Oryctolagus cuniculus: one gene and its partners. The protein of the gene in region 1 purifies or fractionates together with the protein of each later gene. This does not show direct contact. Links are inferred from orthologs where the notes say so. Each region holds a gene or a part of one and is shown in the gene's direction. Other genes may lie near its edges.

Region 1 (4,267 bases):
TGGGGGTGTCCTGGTGGGCAGGGGGAGTGAAAGGCAGGTACACAGAGGGACTTCGTCCACCGGCTGGGTCACCCCCCAGACGCCCACCACGGCCGGGGCCGGGAGCCTGGAGCTGCCCCGGGTCTCCCACGTGGGGTGGGGGCGTGTGCTGCTGGGCCGACTGCCCCTTCCCGGCCTCGACTGAGATGTGGCTTGGGTCCCCGGTGGGCGGCCACTGCAGCGCTGGGCCCTCCCCGGTGACCCCAGCGACCCCTCGCTGCCTTTTTTTTTTAAAAGAAGCTTAATTCAGGGGCCGGTTCCCCTGTGGCGCAGCGGATAAAGCCCCGGCCTGCAGTGCCAACATCCCATGTGGACGCCGGTTCGAGTCCCAGCTGCTCTACTTCCGGTCCAGCTCCCTGCTGTGGCCTGGGAAAGCAGCGGACGATGACCCGAGTCCTTGAGCCAGCAATGGACGGCACCCCCATCCTCACTTTCAACTAAATACGCGTTTCTTTTTTATTTTAGAGATTTATTTGAAAGGCATAGAGAGAAGGGGTCTTCCATCTGCTGGTTCGATCCCCCAATGTCTGGGCGAGGCTGGAGGCCCACGAGCCCCCCCTGCCCGGGTCTCTCGCGTGGTGCGGGGCCCAAGCACCTGTCCGGCACCGATGACCGGAAGTGGGGCGGCCGGGACTCGAACCGGCGCCCGTGAAGGCTGGGGGCGCTGCAGGCCGTGATTGCACCCCCACGCCACGGCGCCGGCCTCGATAAACCTTTCTTTAAAGTGGAATTAGGGGCGAAAACGGCCTGAGGCGCACGCGCGGTTCCGTCCTGAGTGGGGCCGAGGCCCCGCGGGCGCCCGGGGCCGACAGGGACACCTGCGGCCTGGGCCCGCGCGTCCCGGGCGTCTCCCCTCTGCTTCCGCCCCGCCCGCGGCCCCGGCCCGGCCCCGGCGGCGCCTCAGGGATTTCCGCCCCGAACTGGTCACTTTAGGTCACTTTGTGACCTCTGACCTCGGCCCAACGAGGGAAGCAGGAAGCGGCCCCGGCAGGCTTCCCCCGACCTCTGGAGCCCCGAGCCGCGGTGCCGGCCCACGACCGGGGGAGCCCGCGGCCGTTCCGGGGCGGCCGTTGGGACCCGCGACCCCCGACCCCGGGCCCCAACCCCTCCGAGGTCACCGCCGCGGCCTCGCGTCCCCACGCCCGCTTCCCGCCCCGTCGCCGTGACGGGCGCGCCCGCAGGCCAATGAACGAGGCGTCCCCACCCCTCGAGGCGGGGCCGAGTGCGGACCAATCCCCGCGCGACCGCCCGGCCGGGTCCAAACGGCCCAATCGGCGGCGGCGGCCAAGCGTGTCGCGAGGCGGGGCCTTCCGGCTCCACCAACGGGCGGGCACGTCGGCGCCGCGAGGGGGCGTGCCCTGCGGTCGGGCGTGCGGCGGCGGCGGCGGCGCAGGGAGGGGGAGGGAGGTAAACAAGATGGCGGCGGCGTATCGGGCGCGGAAGGGGGAGGCGGCCCGGGGCGCCCGCGAGTGAGTCGCGGGGCGGCGGAGGGCGGCGCCGGCGGCAGCGCGGGCGGCCTTGGATGGGCTGGGCCCCCCTCGCCGCTCCGCCTCCTGCACGCGCGCGGCGGCCGCGGCGAGGGGGACGCACCGGCCGGACTTCGGCAGCCTCGGGCACTCCCCGGCCCGGAGCCTGCGGCCTGGGCCGCCCGGAGCCCGCGGAGCGTCGGCCGCGCGTCGGGGCCGGCCGCTGACGGCGCTCGGGAGCGGGAGCGAGCCCGGGCCGCCGTTGGAGCGCTCGGGGCGTCCGGCCGGAGGTCGCGGGCCGGCTGGGGGGTTGGGGGCGGCGAGCGGCCGGCGCCGAGCGTGCGCCTGACCGCGTCCGGGGAAGCCCCCAGCCCCAACCGCGGGCGCGGCCTCCGAGCGCTCGGCTGAGGCGGCGGGACCGCGGGGCGGCGCCCGAGGGGCTCCCAGCAAAGTTTTGTGGCCCCGGGTGTGGGGGGCTCCCGGGGCGGCGAGCGGCGCGGACCCCCGTCGGCGGCTGCCCGCGGGCATGGACGGCCCGGGGGAGCCGGGTCGCGGCCGCCGGAGCGCTGGTCCGCGCGCCTGAGCCCCCCGGAGGATGAGCGGGCGCCGCGGGCCCCGCCGGCCTGCCCAGGGCCCCCGCGGACGAGCTGAGCCGGCCCGGGCCGCCCCCAGGCCCTGAGACCCCCTCCTCCCGGGGAGGGGGCTCGCAGCGCGGACTGCCGGGCGGGACGCTCGCGTGTGTCGGGAGGAGGCTGTTCGTGGCCGAGGCCTGCGTGGCTTTCTTCCTTTTTGTCTCTTTCCTGTTGGTGTGTTTGAAGTCGGGGAGGCGGGGCGCCGGGACTAGCGGGGCGCCCGGGCGCAGCATGGATGTGGCCGAGCCGCCGCCGCTGGGCCTGTTCCCCGAGGACGAGCTGATGGCCGTGGGCATGGACACCTTCATCCACCGCATCGACTCCACCGAGGTCATCTACCAGCCGCGGCGCAAGCGCGCCAAGCTCATCGGCAAGTACCTGATGGGGGACCTGCTGGGCGAGGGCTCCTACGGGAAGGTGAAGGAGGTGTTGGACTCGGAGACGCTGTGCCGCCGCGCCGTCAAGATCCTCAAGAAGAAGAAGCTGCGGCGGATCCCCAACGGCGAGGCCAACGTGCGGAAGTGAGTGCCCCCCCGCGGCGGGCGGGCGGGCGGGGCCCCTTATCGCGCCCCGGCCTGCACCGGCTTCCAGGAAAGGCCCTTATCTGAGGGGCCCGGTGGCCGTGACCTTGGACAGCGTCCGCGGGGGCGCCGTGGGCAGCGGCCCGGCTGAGGTCCGCGGGGCAGCAGGTGCCCGCCCCGAGCCCTGGGCCCCCCCCCCGCCCGGAGCAGGCTGGTTTAATGGTCTGCTGGCCCCGCGAGGGCCCCGGGAAGCGCTCCCCCCTGCCCGCGGGCTCAGCCCCTGCTGGGGTGGCCACTCCCCGGGTGGGCGCAGGCTGAGGGCCCGGCACCCACCTCTGCCCCTGGGCGAGGGCGCTGACCCGGGTTCCAGTGGGAAATGCCCGAGGCCCGGGCCGGGCCGGGGGCGGGCTGGGTGTACGGGGGAGAGACGGTGCTGTGGGCGAGACCGGCGGGCGCCCAGCCTGGGGCTGGGGAGGCAGAGGGAGCTCCGTGCCCCTCCCTGCCCGCGTCCGCGTCCCCCGTGGCGGCGTTGGCAGGAAGCTGGAGGGAAGCCCGGCGCCTGCGTGGGGCACAGGTGTCCGGTCCGCGGGAGCCAGGCTGGGGTGGGCGCCGAGGGGGGGGGGCCAGGGTCCCGCGTCCAGCAGCAGCTCCCCGGGGGCTCCCGCCGCCCCGGGCCGGCTTCCGGAGCGCTCCCTGACGGGCTGGGACCGGGGCCGGCGCGTGCCCAGGCCCTGGGAGGCGAGGGCTGCCCCCACAAGCCCGCCGGGCTCCCCGCCGGCCTCCCTGCCAGCTGGCCTCGCGAAAAAGGCCCTTTGTGCGTGGGCAGCTTGATGAACTGGGCCGCGGCCCGGCGTGGAGGGCTCGGGCCGCGCCTGTGCCCAGAGCTCCTCCCAGGGGGCCGTCGGGGTGGGCACAGGGCTCCCGGGAAGGGAGTCCCCGTCAGCCGGGAGGCGCTGGGAGTTACAGCTGGGCCTCTGAGGGCCGTCGCGTCCTGTCCCTCCTGGCGGACGCGGGCGGGGAAGCCAGGCTCTTCGTGCCCCCAGCCTCGCCCTGCTCTGTGCTGTCCCCGGGACAGCCCTGGTGGCCGTGGGCTCCTGGGTTCCCGGCCGCCGTGTCCTTGGCGGTGAGGGGCGGCACCGGTGCGCCGAGGGCCCTGGCGGGGCAGCGGCAGGTGTCCCGCTCAGCCGGGCGGGTTTCGGTGCCTCGTCCCTGCTGGCCGCCGGGACGCACGTTGGTGACGTGGCCTGGGGAGGCCGGAACCTTCCGGGCCAATTGGCAGACCCTCGGATCTGGGAGGTGAGAGGCTGGGGAGTTAGCGAGGGGAGAGGGCCACGTGGGGCGCAGCTGGCGCCCACCCTCCGTGCACCCCGGCCTCGTCCCATCCCGGGGCTCCTGAGTGTCCTCTGGCTGACCGGAGGCCGCGCGCCGCGGGCTGGGCTCTGCCAGGGCTCATGGCAGAGCTGAGCTGAGTGCAGGGCCGGGCAGCCCCCTCCCCACCCCCGGCCGCTGCCTCTCGCCCCCTGTGTCTGGGCGGCGTGGCCAGCTGCCTGCCGCCGGGGCGCTGGACAGCTCAGGCCTCGGGGGTCCGCCTTGCGGCCCTGCGCCTGGA
Region 2 (4,136 bases), on another chromosome or scaffold:
GCTGAATACTTGCTGTTTTTTAAGCATGGTAGATGCCTGCTGAATCAGTGTTAATATGCAGAGTAGTTTTGATCGACACTATCTGAATTAATGCATGAATAAATGGTTTCAGTGACTCTCCCTGGCAAAAAAGAGACGCTTCTAGACACTGAGGACCAATGACTGAGATAAGGATCCTTGAGGAGGTCTCAGGGTTGACTCTATTTGCCTTTTCTACAGATATCACTTTTTATTTCTATTTATTGGAGAGGGAGGGAGGCAGGGAGAGAAAGAGAGAGCAAGCCAGTACATTCCTGGACCAGGAACTGAAAGTAGGTCTTCCAGGTGAGTGTCGAGGACCCAACCCCTTAAGCCATCATTGCTGCTGCCTCCCAAGGTCTGTATTAGCAGGAAGCTGGAATTGGGAGGGAAGCCCTTGCCAGGTATGGATCCTACCACTCCTGGGGGACCTGGTGCCTTAACCTCTCCGCCAAATGCCACCAACTTTCTACCCACCTCCAAATCTTGAAGCACCAGGCAGCATGGTGACTGGTTTATGGGAAGGGCCTTTTACAAAGACTTCAGTGTGACAGTGTGCAAAGCCAGGAGACACGGGTTCTAATCTGATTAGGGGACATCAGATTACCATAGGCAACTATCATGTCCCATAGGTCCCCAGTTTGAGACTTCAGGTTTCTGTTTCTTCAAAAATGATGGGGCTGAGCTAAAGATTCCCTAAGGCCCCCCGCCGCCCCTGCACCCCCCCCCCCGGGGGGGGACAGCGTGGGGGCCGCAGGGTTCTCACGGTCCCTGGGTATCCAAGGGAGGTGCCGCGTGCTCACCTGGTTCTTGAGGCGGGATGTTCTCGGGTCCGACCTAGCATCTCTAGCTTCCCGAGTTAGTGTCCTGGAGCTAACCTGGACTGCTAATCTAACGCAAACAGCCCGACCTGACCCCTCTCCCGCCACAGACCAGGCCCGCAGGACAGACAGACACGGTACGGCAGTGGGGTCAACGATCTTGCTTGGGCGTTAGTTTCTGTGGAGGGAAGGGCTGATGTGAGGGGGTGTCGGTCAGCTTCCTCCATCCATTTTCTCCAGCCCCCACAAAGGGCAAGGGCCAGACACGTGGGCTAGTGTGGGGGGGCGGAGATGCAAATAAACGTGGGCGGGGCCTTATTTGCATGGACCGCGCGCGGCCACCAATCCGGACACGCGGAGCGACAGCCCGCGCGCCTTTTGGGGGCGGACTGACAGCCCCGGGGCCCTATGGAAGGGGGGTCCTGCGGCCGGCGGGGGCGGGACCATGCCGGGCGCTGCCCTGGGGATTCGGGCCGGCTCGCGGGCGCTGCCAGTCTCGGACTGCGGTGTCCGGCGCGCGGGCTGCCTGCTGGGCGGGCTGAGGGGCGAGCGGCGCGCGGGCGAGGCGGAGAGAGCAGGAGCTGGCCAGGCACTGTGGAGACAGGTACCGGCGCCATGGCCGCAGGGATGAGGTGGGGCGGCCGCGGGGTCCCGAGAGCCCAATTCTCTCTTTTCAGGTTCTGCCGCTGCCCCTCACGCGGCTCCCCAGCCCGGGAGGGAGTGGCGCGAGGGGCTGCAAGTCCACGAGGTGAGCGCCCGGGGGGCTCCCAGCCCGACTGCGGGGGCCGCCGGGCCGAGGCTCCCTCCGGGGGGCCGCGGGAGCCGCTCTCCGCCCGCGCCGCGCTCCCCCTCCCGGTCGCGCCCGCTCGCCCTCACTCGGCTTTTGTTTCCCGCCCGGGGTGACAGGTCCCGGCTCCGGCTGTCGTCGGCGGACCCGGACTCGCCCGAGGCCCGGCGCTGCGGGACCCTCGGAGAAGCCGGGCGGCGCCCGAGCAGCCGCAGCCGCGGGCCGGAGCGCAACTTGGCCTTCCGGGACCGGGGCGGCCGGAGGCCTGGAGCCCGGGGCTGAGACGAGCGCCAGGACGCCGCGGGCGCGATGGAGACTCGCTCACCTGGCGGGCCCGCGGAGGGCGAGGATAACGGAGCGCCCCGGCCGCGCGCGGGGTGGCCGCCCGCTGGGTGTGGACGCGGGCGTGCCCCGCCGTCACCTGCCGCCCTGGCGCTCGTGCCTGGGAGCCGCACGGCCCCTCGGCGGGGTGCGGGCGCCGCGCCGCGCTCACAGGTGACCCGCACTCTGCGGTGCGGGCCGAGAGTTGCGGCCGGGGTGGGTCCTGGGACGCTTGCGGCTCCGTCCGCCCGCCTTGCCGGCCGTCCCGGGAGGCGTGCGCCCCGGACGGCTTGCAGAAGCCGCGTGCAGGACCCGGGCGCTGCAGGCTGCCTGCTCCGGGCGCAGCCGCCCTGTGCGGGGCGGCTTCGGCGGCGGCGGCGACGGCTCGGGCAGGTACAGCCTGGAAGGGGAGCGCGCAGAGCCCCGCTGCCCTCCGCGGGCCGCCGTGCAGTCCGTGGTTTTGGATTCGCTTTCTGGGCTGTGCTTTCCAGGGGAGTGAGGCGTAGCTCTGAATGGGAGCTTTCTTCGCTCTCTGACCTGGACTGTTTGCTTTCATTGTCTCCCCGCCTTGTTCGATGGGGGACCCGGGAAGAGTTAGGGCGGATTCGGGGTAGGGGTTTGCAGCCCCCCTGCCCCCGCGTTGGGGGTCTTTGCTTTAGAGAGTCAGAGGAGCTGCCTCTCTCGGGATGGGAGTCAAACTCCAAGGGTCGACCTGAAAAAAGGCCTTACCCTGGTGGGAGCTTTTTGTCCTGTCGTACTTTCCCTTAGCGTTTCCGTTTGTGTGTCTGCCTCCCGACCCCTGCCTAACCCGCCACACTTAGCCCTGACCAACCTGGGCATGCTATACAATTGTATTTCTAAAATTAGGTCACTTGTGAGACACACGGGATCTGGTGTGCTCGGTTTTTATGTTTTAAAGCGTCTTGTTTGATGCACATAGTGGATATGTTTGACTGCCTAGGAGCAGCGTTATTAACTTTGATTTAATTTGCTTATTTACCTTGCTAATTAGAATTATGTAACAGTTAATAAGAGGTCAGAACTCTTCAGCCAAAGTTGTGACTACTTCAGTGTAAAAAAAAAATAAAGATGATCTTTATAAATTGTTTTATTTCTCTGAAGCAATAAACTTAGATAACGGGGGTCTTTAAAAGTTCACAGAAATGCATATTATGAAGAAACTGTGTCTGGATTTCAGAATGTTTTGTACTGAAATAAATTCATCTTTTAATTCCACTTTTCCGTGAACTTTTTGAACTTCCCACGTATGTTGTAAGGGCTTTGTCTTTCCAGCATTTTGTAAAACAGGTATGTTTTTTGGAATCTTTAACTTTTTTTATTTATGGGAAATTTGAGTGCATTTCTTTTTTTTAAAACAATTGTTATCAGTTCAACATGAAAAACTTAATGAATTAGGCAACTAATTAAGTCTTTAATTTTCTGTTTACTCTTGAATTGGAAAAAGAATCCATGTTTCAGGCTTTTTAGTTTCCTGCAGGCTTCTCTACTTAGAATGGATTAGTCCGGAGAAGAACATCCTCTTTGTACACCCGCAGAAGTTATTGCTGTACAAGCTGAGCTGGCTTTCGGATGCTTAGGAAGGGTAGAAAGAACAGTGGCTTGTCCTCACATAGAATGGGTTTTGCCTTTACAAAGTTATAAAGGACTTTATGACACTTGGGCTTTCATTGTCTCTCGTTATTTATTTAATTGCTCTTTAGTGTAAAGGAATACATTTAAGTGCTGTGCTGTTAGAGCGTTGATTGTCCTTATCCTGTGATGGTGCTTTAATATGCCAAATATCGTCAAGTTATGTCTCGTAAGTTTGTTTCCACAAAAGTATATTTTAGGTACTTTAATTATGAACGTACCTTAAAATTAAAACCTATTTTAAAATTCAGTTTTTGCATATTTTAACTACTGAATTTTGTTCACTTTAATTTATCAAGCACATTTTATCTTCAAAATTAAGCACAAGCTGAATTCTCACAATAAACACTGGCAGGTTTTTTTTTTTTTTTTAAGCAGTTACCCTCAGGTACGGCTCCTTTTGATTGGGGGCTGGTGGTGCGAGTGGTAAATATTTTTAAGTGAATAACTTCACAAAAAAACAAGGACTTTAGCTAAATCCAAAAGACAGATTGAAAAACACTGTTACAAACATCAATACTGCTTTATTTAATAGAAAC
Region 3 (3,560 bases), on another chromosome or scaffold:
TCTATAGATGATGTTACTATATCTAGTATTGATTAAAGTTGATATTGATTGTTTTAAAATTTTTTTTAAAATTTTTTTTCTTTATTTTTCAAATGCAGAGACAGACAGACAGAGATCTTCCAATGCTGGTGGACTTCCCAGATGCCCATAACAGCCTGGGTTAAACCAGATAGGCCAGGAGCCTAGAACTCAATCCAGATTTCCCATGTGGGTGGTAGAGACACAAGTACTTGAGCCATGATCTGCCTCCCAGAATGTGCATTAGCAGGAAGTTGAATCAGAAATGGAGTAGTGGCCTGCGCTGCACCTAATCCTCTGCCTGCGGTGCCGGCACCCCAGGTTGTAGTCCCGGTTGGGGCGCCGGATTCTGTCCCGGTCACTCCTCTTCCAGTCTAGCTCTCTGCTGTGGCCAGGGAAGGCAGTGGAGGATGGCCCAGGTCCTTGGGCCCTGCACCCGCATGGGAGATCAGGAGGAAGCACCTGGCTCCTAGCTTCGGATCGGCACAGTGCACCGGCTGCAACGTGCCGGCTGTAGCGGCCACTTCGGGGGTGAACCAACAGAAAAAGGAAGACCTTTCTCTCTGTCTCTCTCTCTCTCTCACTGTCTAACTCTGCCTGTCAAAAAAAGAAAGAAAGAAAGGAGGGAGGGAGGGAGTAAGGGAGTAGCTGGGATTCAAACCAAGCATCCATATGGGATGGAGGTTTCCCAAGCAGCAACTTAACTGCTGTGTGCCTCCTTATGTGTTGCTTTTATTAGGAAAATACAAATGACACTAAGTGTGCTCGCAGCATTTGCTTCATTTAAATTTCATGAAAATTATATCACTGTTTTCTTCTTTTACTCTTTTTTGGAACTGGATGGGGGGTCAGCATATAAAAAAAGATGTAGGTGTTTCTGTGCCTTAATATTATAGAAAATTAAGAGAAAGGAATGGTATAAAAGTCTCAGTTATTAAATAAAACCTTTTCCCTGACATTTCTTTTGCTTAGAGAAGTTATGATATCTTTACTGTTTCAGTATAGTCAGAAAAAAATCAAGTAATTCAGTGTAAGGAAACTTGATTTGTGACATGTTACAGTATAAGATGATTAGGGTATGGAATTCCTGGAATAACACATTGAAGGTTACACTAATACAGATATGTTTTCATTATTAATTTTAGGTAAGGGTTGATTGCTTAATGAAAATTTATAAATTACTCATGTTTTCTTATCTCTTTCTTTTTAAACAGTGGTAAATGAGAATGTCAGTCTTGTGATCTCACGACAGTTGCTGACTGATTTTTGCACACATCTGCCTAACCTGCCTGATAGCACAGCCAAAGAAATCTATCACTTTACCTTGGAAAAGATCCAGCCTAGAGTCATTTCATTTGAGGAGCAGGTAAGAATCTAGAACAACAGTTTTTGAATTTGAGATAGCGGCAGTTGCTTTGAGAATCTGATGCTATTAAATTCCTAATGGAGATAATTGTGCAATTTGATATTTGATGAAATAGAATCTCAACCAGCGTTTTTTGCTTTTAAAGATTTATTTTATTTGTTTGAAAGGCAGAGTTACAGAGAGAGAAAGGGAGAGACAGGGAGAGATCTTCCATCTGCTGGTTCACTCCTCAAATGGCTGCAATGGCCAGGGCTGGGCCTGGCTGAGGCCAGGAGCCAGGAGCTTCATCTGGATCTCTCACATGGGTGCAGAGTCCCAAGCACTTAGGCTATCTTCTACTGCTTTCCTAAGTACATTAGTAGGGAGTTGGATTGGAAGTAGAGCAACCGGGACATGAACCAGAACCCATATTGGATGCTGGCATCACAAGCAGTGGCTTCACTCACTGTGCTAACAGTGCTAGTCCTGTCTACCACCATTTTACAGTGTAAAATCTAATAAATATTAGAATGTTTGCAATTCCACCTGACATTTGCCCATATATTAAAATTTGATCTTACCAGTCAAATATTACTCTTTAAACAGTTTTAAAAAGTCAGTATAAAAAATTGTTATTAGACTACACACGGGAAACTTCAACATCCTATATGCAGAGACATAAAAGCAAATTTTAACATTTAAACTAAAATATTACCATAACTCACATTGCAGAAATGCATTGTTTCATTTCACTGCTTTGATATTATGTGAATGCGAAATTCATAGAAAAATTTGGGTGGTCTAGATAAACTTTGATTTGCCACCCTGTATGTTGAATAAGAGCATTGTCAAAATGGATTAGTTTATCATCTATTTATTTTAATTGACTAATGAGTTATGGTTGAAGTAATTTAACATGTATACCTTCTATTTCAGGTTGCTTCCATAAGGCAGCATCTTGCATCTATATATGAGAAAGAAGAAGATTGGAGAAATGCAGCCCAAGTGTTGGTGGGAATTCCTTTGGAAACAGGACAAAAGTATAGTAAATAGTGGATATTGAATGAATATATATACATATACATACACACATATAGGATATATAATTATTTACCTACATTTTTTTCTTACATTCTAATACAGGAAAGAGATAAACAAGTTATAAGTAAATTTTGTAGTATGTTAAAAGATAAATGCTTACTTACAGAGAAAAGTAAGGGGAAAAGAGGGGACAGATTGTATATATCATTAAATTGGGTAGTAGGGTGGTCCTGATGTCACTTTCCCAAAGATTTGAAGGAGAGAGGGTAGTGGATTAGAGCTATTTGAGGGAAGCACATCACTGGCTACTCAGAGAGATGGTTAATGCAAAGGCCCTAAGATGGGAACATGTATTTTCAAGAAGAATAAGGAAGGGGCTGGCACTGTGATGTAGTGGCTTAAGCCACCGCTTGTGGTGCCACATCCCATCTGGGTTTGGTTCAAGTCCTGGCTGTTCCACTTCTATTCCAGCTCTCTGCTAATGTGCCTGGGAAAGCAGTAGAAGATGGTCCAAGTGCTTGAGCCTCTGTACCCACGTGGGAAATCCAGAAGAGGCTTCTGTCTCCTGGCTTTGGCCTGGCCCAGCTCCAGCCAATGTGTCCATTAGGGGAGTAAGCCAGTGGATGGAAGATTCTGTCTCTCCCTTTTTCTCTGTAACTCTGACTTGCAAATAAAATAAATCTTTTTTAAAGATGTATTTATTTATTTGAAAGGCAGAGTTAGAGAGAGAGAGATTGATCTTCCATCTGCTGGTTCACTTCCCAAATGGCCACAGTGGCTGGAGCTGAGCCTATCTGAAGCCAGGAGCCAGGAGCTTCTTCCAGTATCCCATGTGGGTGCAGAGACCCAAGTATTTCTGCCATCTTCTTCTTTTATTTTTAAAGATTTATTTTATTTATTTGAAAGAATTACAGAGAGAGGTAGAAACAGAGAGAGAGGTCTTCCACCCGCTGGTTCACTCCCCAGATGGCTGCAATGGCCAGGGCTGCGCCAATCCGAAGCCAGGAGCTAAGAGCTTCTTCTGGATCTCCCACGTGGGTGCAGGGGCCCAAGGACTCGGGCCGTGTTCTACTGCTTTCCCAGGCCATAGCAGAGAGCTGGACCAGAAGAGGAGCAGCCGGGACTAGAACCAGCGTCCATATGAGATGCCGGTGCT
Region 4 (3,560 bases), on another chromosome or scaffold:
ACACATCCTTCCCCTGTGTGTCCGCCTGAGCTTGCAAATCTCCTTTTTTGTGTAAGGTGTAACTGATCATGTCGCCTCCCCCTCCAGTTTCTTGCCCAGTTGAAGCTCATGGACTACAGCTTACTGGTGGGAATTCACGATGTGGAGAGAGCCGAGCAAGAAGAGGTGGAGTGTGAGGAGAATGACGGGGAGGAGGAGGGGGAGAGCGACGGCACCCACCCAGTCGGGACCCCTCCGGATAGCCCCGGAAACACGTTGAACAGCTCACCGCCCTTGGCTCCGGGGGAGTTTGATCCGAACATTGATGTTTATGGAATTAAATGCCATGAAAGTAAGCTTAGTTACCATTGCCTCTTGTTTACATCTGAAGCAGTTTGGTTTTTGCATTGTCGTCTACCAGTAATGAACCCTAGTACAGGTGTGTTGTCCTGCAAGACTCATTCTCCGGAGTCCAGGTAAACGCACAGGGTCAGAGCGGGTTCAAGGTAACTATAAGCTCGGGTTTTAGATGTAATGGGAGCAGGTCCTTGGGTAGGGGGCTGTTGAGGGACTGGAGCAAAACCACGAGTCATCTTGTGTATCCCACATATACCTATAGATGCACCTCTATAGAGAACATATATAAGAACTGGTTTAAGTATTTTTTCCTTAGCTGTCTTCTTTCTTATCTAAGGCTAAAGCACCACACATCTGTCCTGAGGTAGGCACGGGTGTGTGGTCTACTGTGACCCTCAGGGAGGCATATCATCACCAAACACCCCTCCTTCTCTGTGCCAAGGCCAGCCTGTGGACGGGGCGAGAGCCCTAAAGGGGGCTCTGAGCTTCTCTAGGGTCAGAACCATTGTTCTTAGTCCTCAACACAATATAAAAATGACCGGGCATTTGAAGGAATATCCCATTCTACCTTAGCTACTTACCCATAAAAAAATATTTTAGTGATTTGATAAATGCAGCCTCTCATTTTCTGAATAATAGTGTGGTTCATTGATTTTTTTTTCTTAAAAAAAAAAAAACACAGATGGCATCTCACCCAAATGGGTTTGAGTTATGTTTTGTTCTATTCTTATTTTGCTCACCAAAATTGTTTCTTTAACACAGAAAACTAGATGTAGTCAAATGTGCTGTCCTTTCTATTCAGAATTGAAGCAACATCATATTTTTGGGACTAAGTAGATATTGGGGTGCTCTGTGCCTTTATCCAGTTCTGATACTGCATCCAGTGAGAACTGCTTACCAACACTGCAGCTTATGGTAAAGAAAGGATTAATGAACACAGTTAGTTACACTTGTTTCCTAAGTATTTTTAAGATAGCATTCCTCTTTACACAGTCATTCAAGAAAATGCAGATTATCAAAAAGTAAAAATAAAAGCATTCAGTTGCACCCTTGGAGCTCCAGTGTTCATATCCTGGGGTTATGGTAGGTTTTTTCACTTGTTATTTTGAAAGCACATTGGGTAGAGTCCCCAGGGCTGGGAGGAGCACGCAGGAGTCCCTTGGAGTTTGTCCCCAGGCTGCTTCAGCCCCAGGCTCCTCTCCTTCCCTGCACAGTGCTTGTGTCTCCCTCCCGGTGACGTCATTCACTTGCTCTCATCCCTTTGCAGACTCGCCTAGGAAGGAGGTGTACTTCATGGCAATTATTGACATTCTCACTCATTATGATGCAAAAAAGAAAGCTGCCCACGCTGCAAAAACTGTGAAGCACGGCGTAAGTACACGCTCCCGATTCTCCCTCGGGGTCCTCAGCGTGGCCGGGAGCCGAGACCACTCCTTTCTCCTGCGGGCTCCTCCTCTCTGCGGGCGCTGTTCAGAGCCCTTTAGTGGAGCGCGCTGCCTGTGGGGGGCCGTGTTCTCATGCAAATGCCAGCGGCTAAAGCCCGGCCCTCCCAGGGACTTGGTAGGGCTCCTGGCAAGTCCGCGCCTCTTCTGACACACAGAGGACGTGTACAGCCACAGGCCTCCCTAGGAACTGACAAATTCTTTTGTGTTTGGAAAGTGTTCTGAAGATTAAAGTGCTGAAGTTGGTGGTTTTAATGCAGAGTGCTCCGAATTGAAGCACAGTTCTCTGCTTAAGGCGCTTCCAAAGTATGCAAGATTAGATTTCTTCTCTCGTGGTGGGCTGTATTTTTTCTGTCACAGCAGCCATGTGAGTGCAGGGTCCAAGTTTCCCCATGGTCATTCTTGGCCTTTATTGTGCCTGCTCAGAATTGGCACGGTGCTGGGCAGCAGGTACCCTGCTGACCCCTTGCGAGGGGATGCTAGTGGGTCCCCTCTGTCAGCTGAAGGAACGGAAGCAGACAGCTTCAGGGGTGACAACAAGAGCCCCTCGCTAGGCAGGGGCACAGCAGGGCTTCCTCTGCAGAGTCTAGCAGGGTCACCCGCCCTGTGTTCCTGCCCTGCCCTGCCCTGCCCATGCAGCCCCACTGCCTGGCTACACGCCATTCTGGCTTGTAGCGTGGGGCTCCACTTGTGGCTCTCCAAGTGGACTGAAAAGCCACAGAGCCCCATCCCTCGCAGTCGGACTTGTGCTGCCTGTGCCCGCTGGCAGGTGCCTCCCACAGAGCGCTGGCCAGAGCTAACCAACTCAGCTAAAGGCTCTTTTTCTCTATTTGAAACTCAAACGGGCTGCCATCCCGGAAGTGGATTCAGCCTGAAACCATATTCTGTTTGCCAAAGAAACAGCTCAGCCACAGGCTCCTGCTGTGCGCAGAGCACAGCCGCAGACCCTGCCTGGCCCAGAGAGCGCCTCAGCAAGACAAGGTCACAGGGGCAGCGTCCTAGCGCCATTCCTAAGTGCACCTGCGCCACAGGCACAGCCACTCTCCCTGCTTAGAGTCCCGCTCAGGGGAGTGAGGCAGGGGACTCCAGAGGCCCCATGGGTTGAAAGCCATGGGGGAGACTGCACACACAGACCTGGGGCGGAGTCTCCGCCTCCTTCCTGCTTGTGTGAACTAAAGGAAATACTTTTTGAGGTTGCTCTAACAGCCCAGGCCTGGAAATAACGAGAGCCCCCATGAATGTGGGCATCCAAAAATAGCCCCTGGCGACTTAGTAAAAATCTAGTCTTTGCCCCTTGCAGCTTAGGACACTGCAGAAACTGCAGAGCACCGGCCAGCACTGTGCAGGTAATAACAGCACCCCCCACTGGGCCTCTGCAGAGCCCCGTCCGTGCTCCGTGCAGGTCTCTGCGGAGGAGCGGTGGCACCAAGGGCCCTCAGCTCTCGGGAGGTGCAGCAGCATCTTAAGTCCTGAAGTCACATCATGGAAGGTCTTGCTTTCACCAGAACTTACGTGTGTGTCACCCTCAAGTGTCCACGGTCTGCTGCCTTGAAATGCAAAGCTGTTGTCCCATGGCTTTAGAATGTAAACCCCACAGATCCTCCTGGTTGGTAGGAATGTCCCAAACAGGGATGATGGGATTTTTTTAAAGATTTATGTATTTGAAAAGCAGAGGTACAGAGAGAGAGAGAGAGAATCCATCTTCATCCGCTGGTTCACTCCCCAAATGACTGCAATGGCTGGGGCTGGGCGAGTCTGAAGCCAGGAGCTTCTTCTGGGTCT

The links.
Region 2: the proteins of STK11 (region 1) and FKBP5 purify together in Homo sapiens (affinity purification with mass spectrometry; 8 studies listed by BioGRID and IntAct, counting the BioPlex papers as one, with this or other methods). This does not show direct contact. The link is inferred for Oryctolagus cuniculus from reciprocal best matches to the Homo sapiens genes STK11 and FKBP5.
Region 3: the proteins of STK11 (region 1) and COPS4 purify together in Homo sapiens (affinity purification with mass spectrometry; 4 studies listed by BioGRID and IntAct, with this or other methods). This does not show direct contact. The link is inferred for Oryctolagus cuniculus from reciprocal best matches to the Homo sapiens genes STK11 and COPS4.
Region 4: the proteins of STK11 (region 1) and PIP4K2A purify together in Homo sapiens (affinity purification with mass spectrometry; 3 studies listed by BioGRID and IntAct, counting the BioPlex papers as one, with this or other methods). This does not show direct contact. The link is inferred for Oryctolagus cuniculus from reciprocal best matches to the Homo sapiens genes STK11 and PIP4K2A.

What each region holds. Positions count from the first base shown.
Region 1 is NC_091447.1:58,641,489-58,645,755, forward strand, and holds the start of STK11 (serine/threonine-protein kinase STK11), read left to right. Parts: upstream 1-1,450; 5' UTR 1,451-2,368; coding exon 2,369-2,658; intron 2,659-4,267. UniProt on the Homo sapiens protein: Tumor suppressor serine/threonine-protein kinase that controls the activity of AMP-activated protein kinase (AMPK) family members, thereby playing a role in various processes such as cell metabolism, cell polarity, apoptosis and DNA damage response.
Region 2 is NC_091436.1:133,767,956-133,772,091, forward strand, and holds the start of FKBP5 (peptidyl-prolyl cis-trans isomerase FKBP5), read left to right. Parts: upstream 1-1,278; 5' UTR 1,279-1,443; intron 1,444-4,136. UniProt on the Homo sapiens protein: Immunophilin protein with PPIase and co-chaperone activities. Component of unligated steroid receptors heterocomplexes through interaction with heat-shock protein 90 (HSP90).
Region 3 is NC_091439.1:82,801,229-82,804,788, reverse strand, and holds part of COPS4 (COP9 signalosome complex subunit 4), read left to right. Parts: intron 1-1,232; coding exon 1,233-1,384; intron 1,385-2,299; coding exon 2,300-2,403; intron 2,404-3,560. UniProt on the Homo sapiens protein: Component of the COP9 signalosome complex (CSN), a complex involved in various cellular and developmental processes.
Region 4 is NC_091444.1:48,772,009-48,775,568, reverse strand, and holds part of PIP4K2A (phosphatidylinositol 5-phosphate 4-kinase type-2 alpha), read left to right. Parts: intron 1-87; coding exon 88-331; intron 332-1,603; coding exon 1,604-1,707; intron 1,708-3,560. UniProt on the Homo sapiens protein: Catalyzes the phosphorylation of phosphatidylinositol 5-phosphate (PtdIns5P) on the fourth hydroxyl of the myo-inositol ring, to form phosphatidylinositol 4,5-bisphosphate (PtdIns(4,5)P2). Has both ATP- and GTP-dependent kinase activities.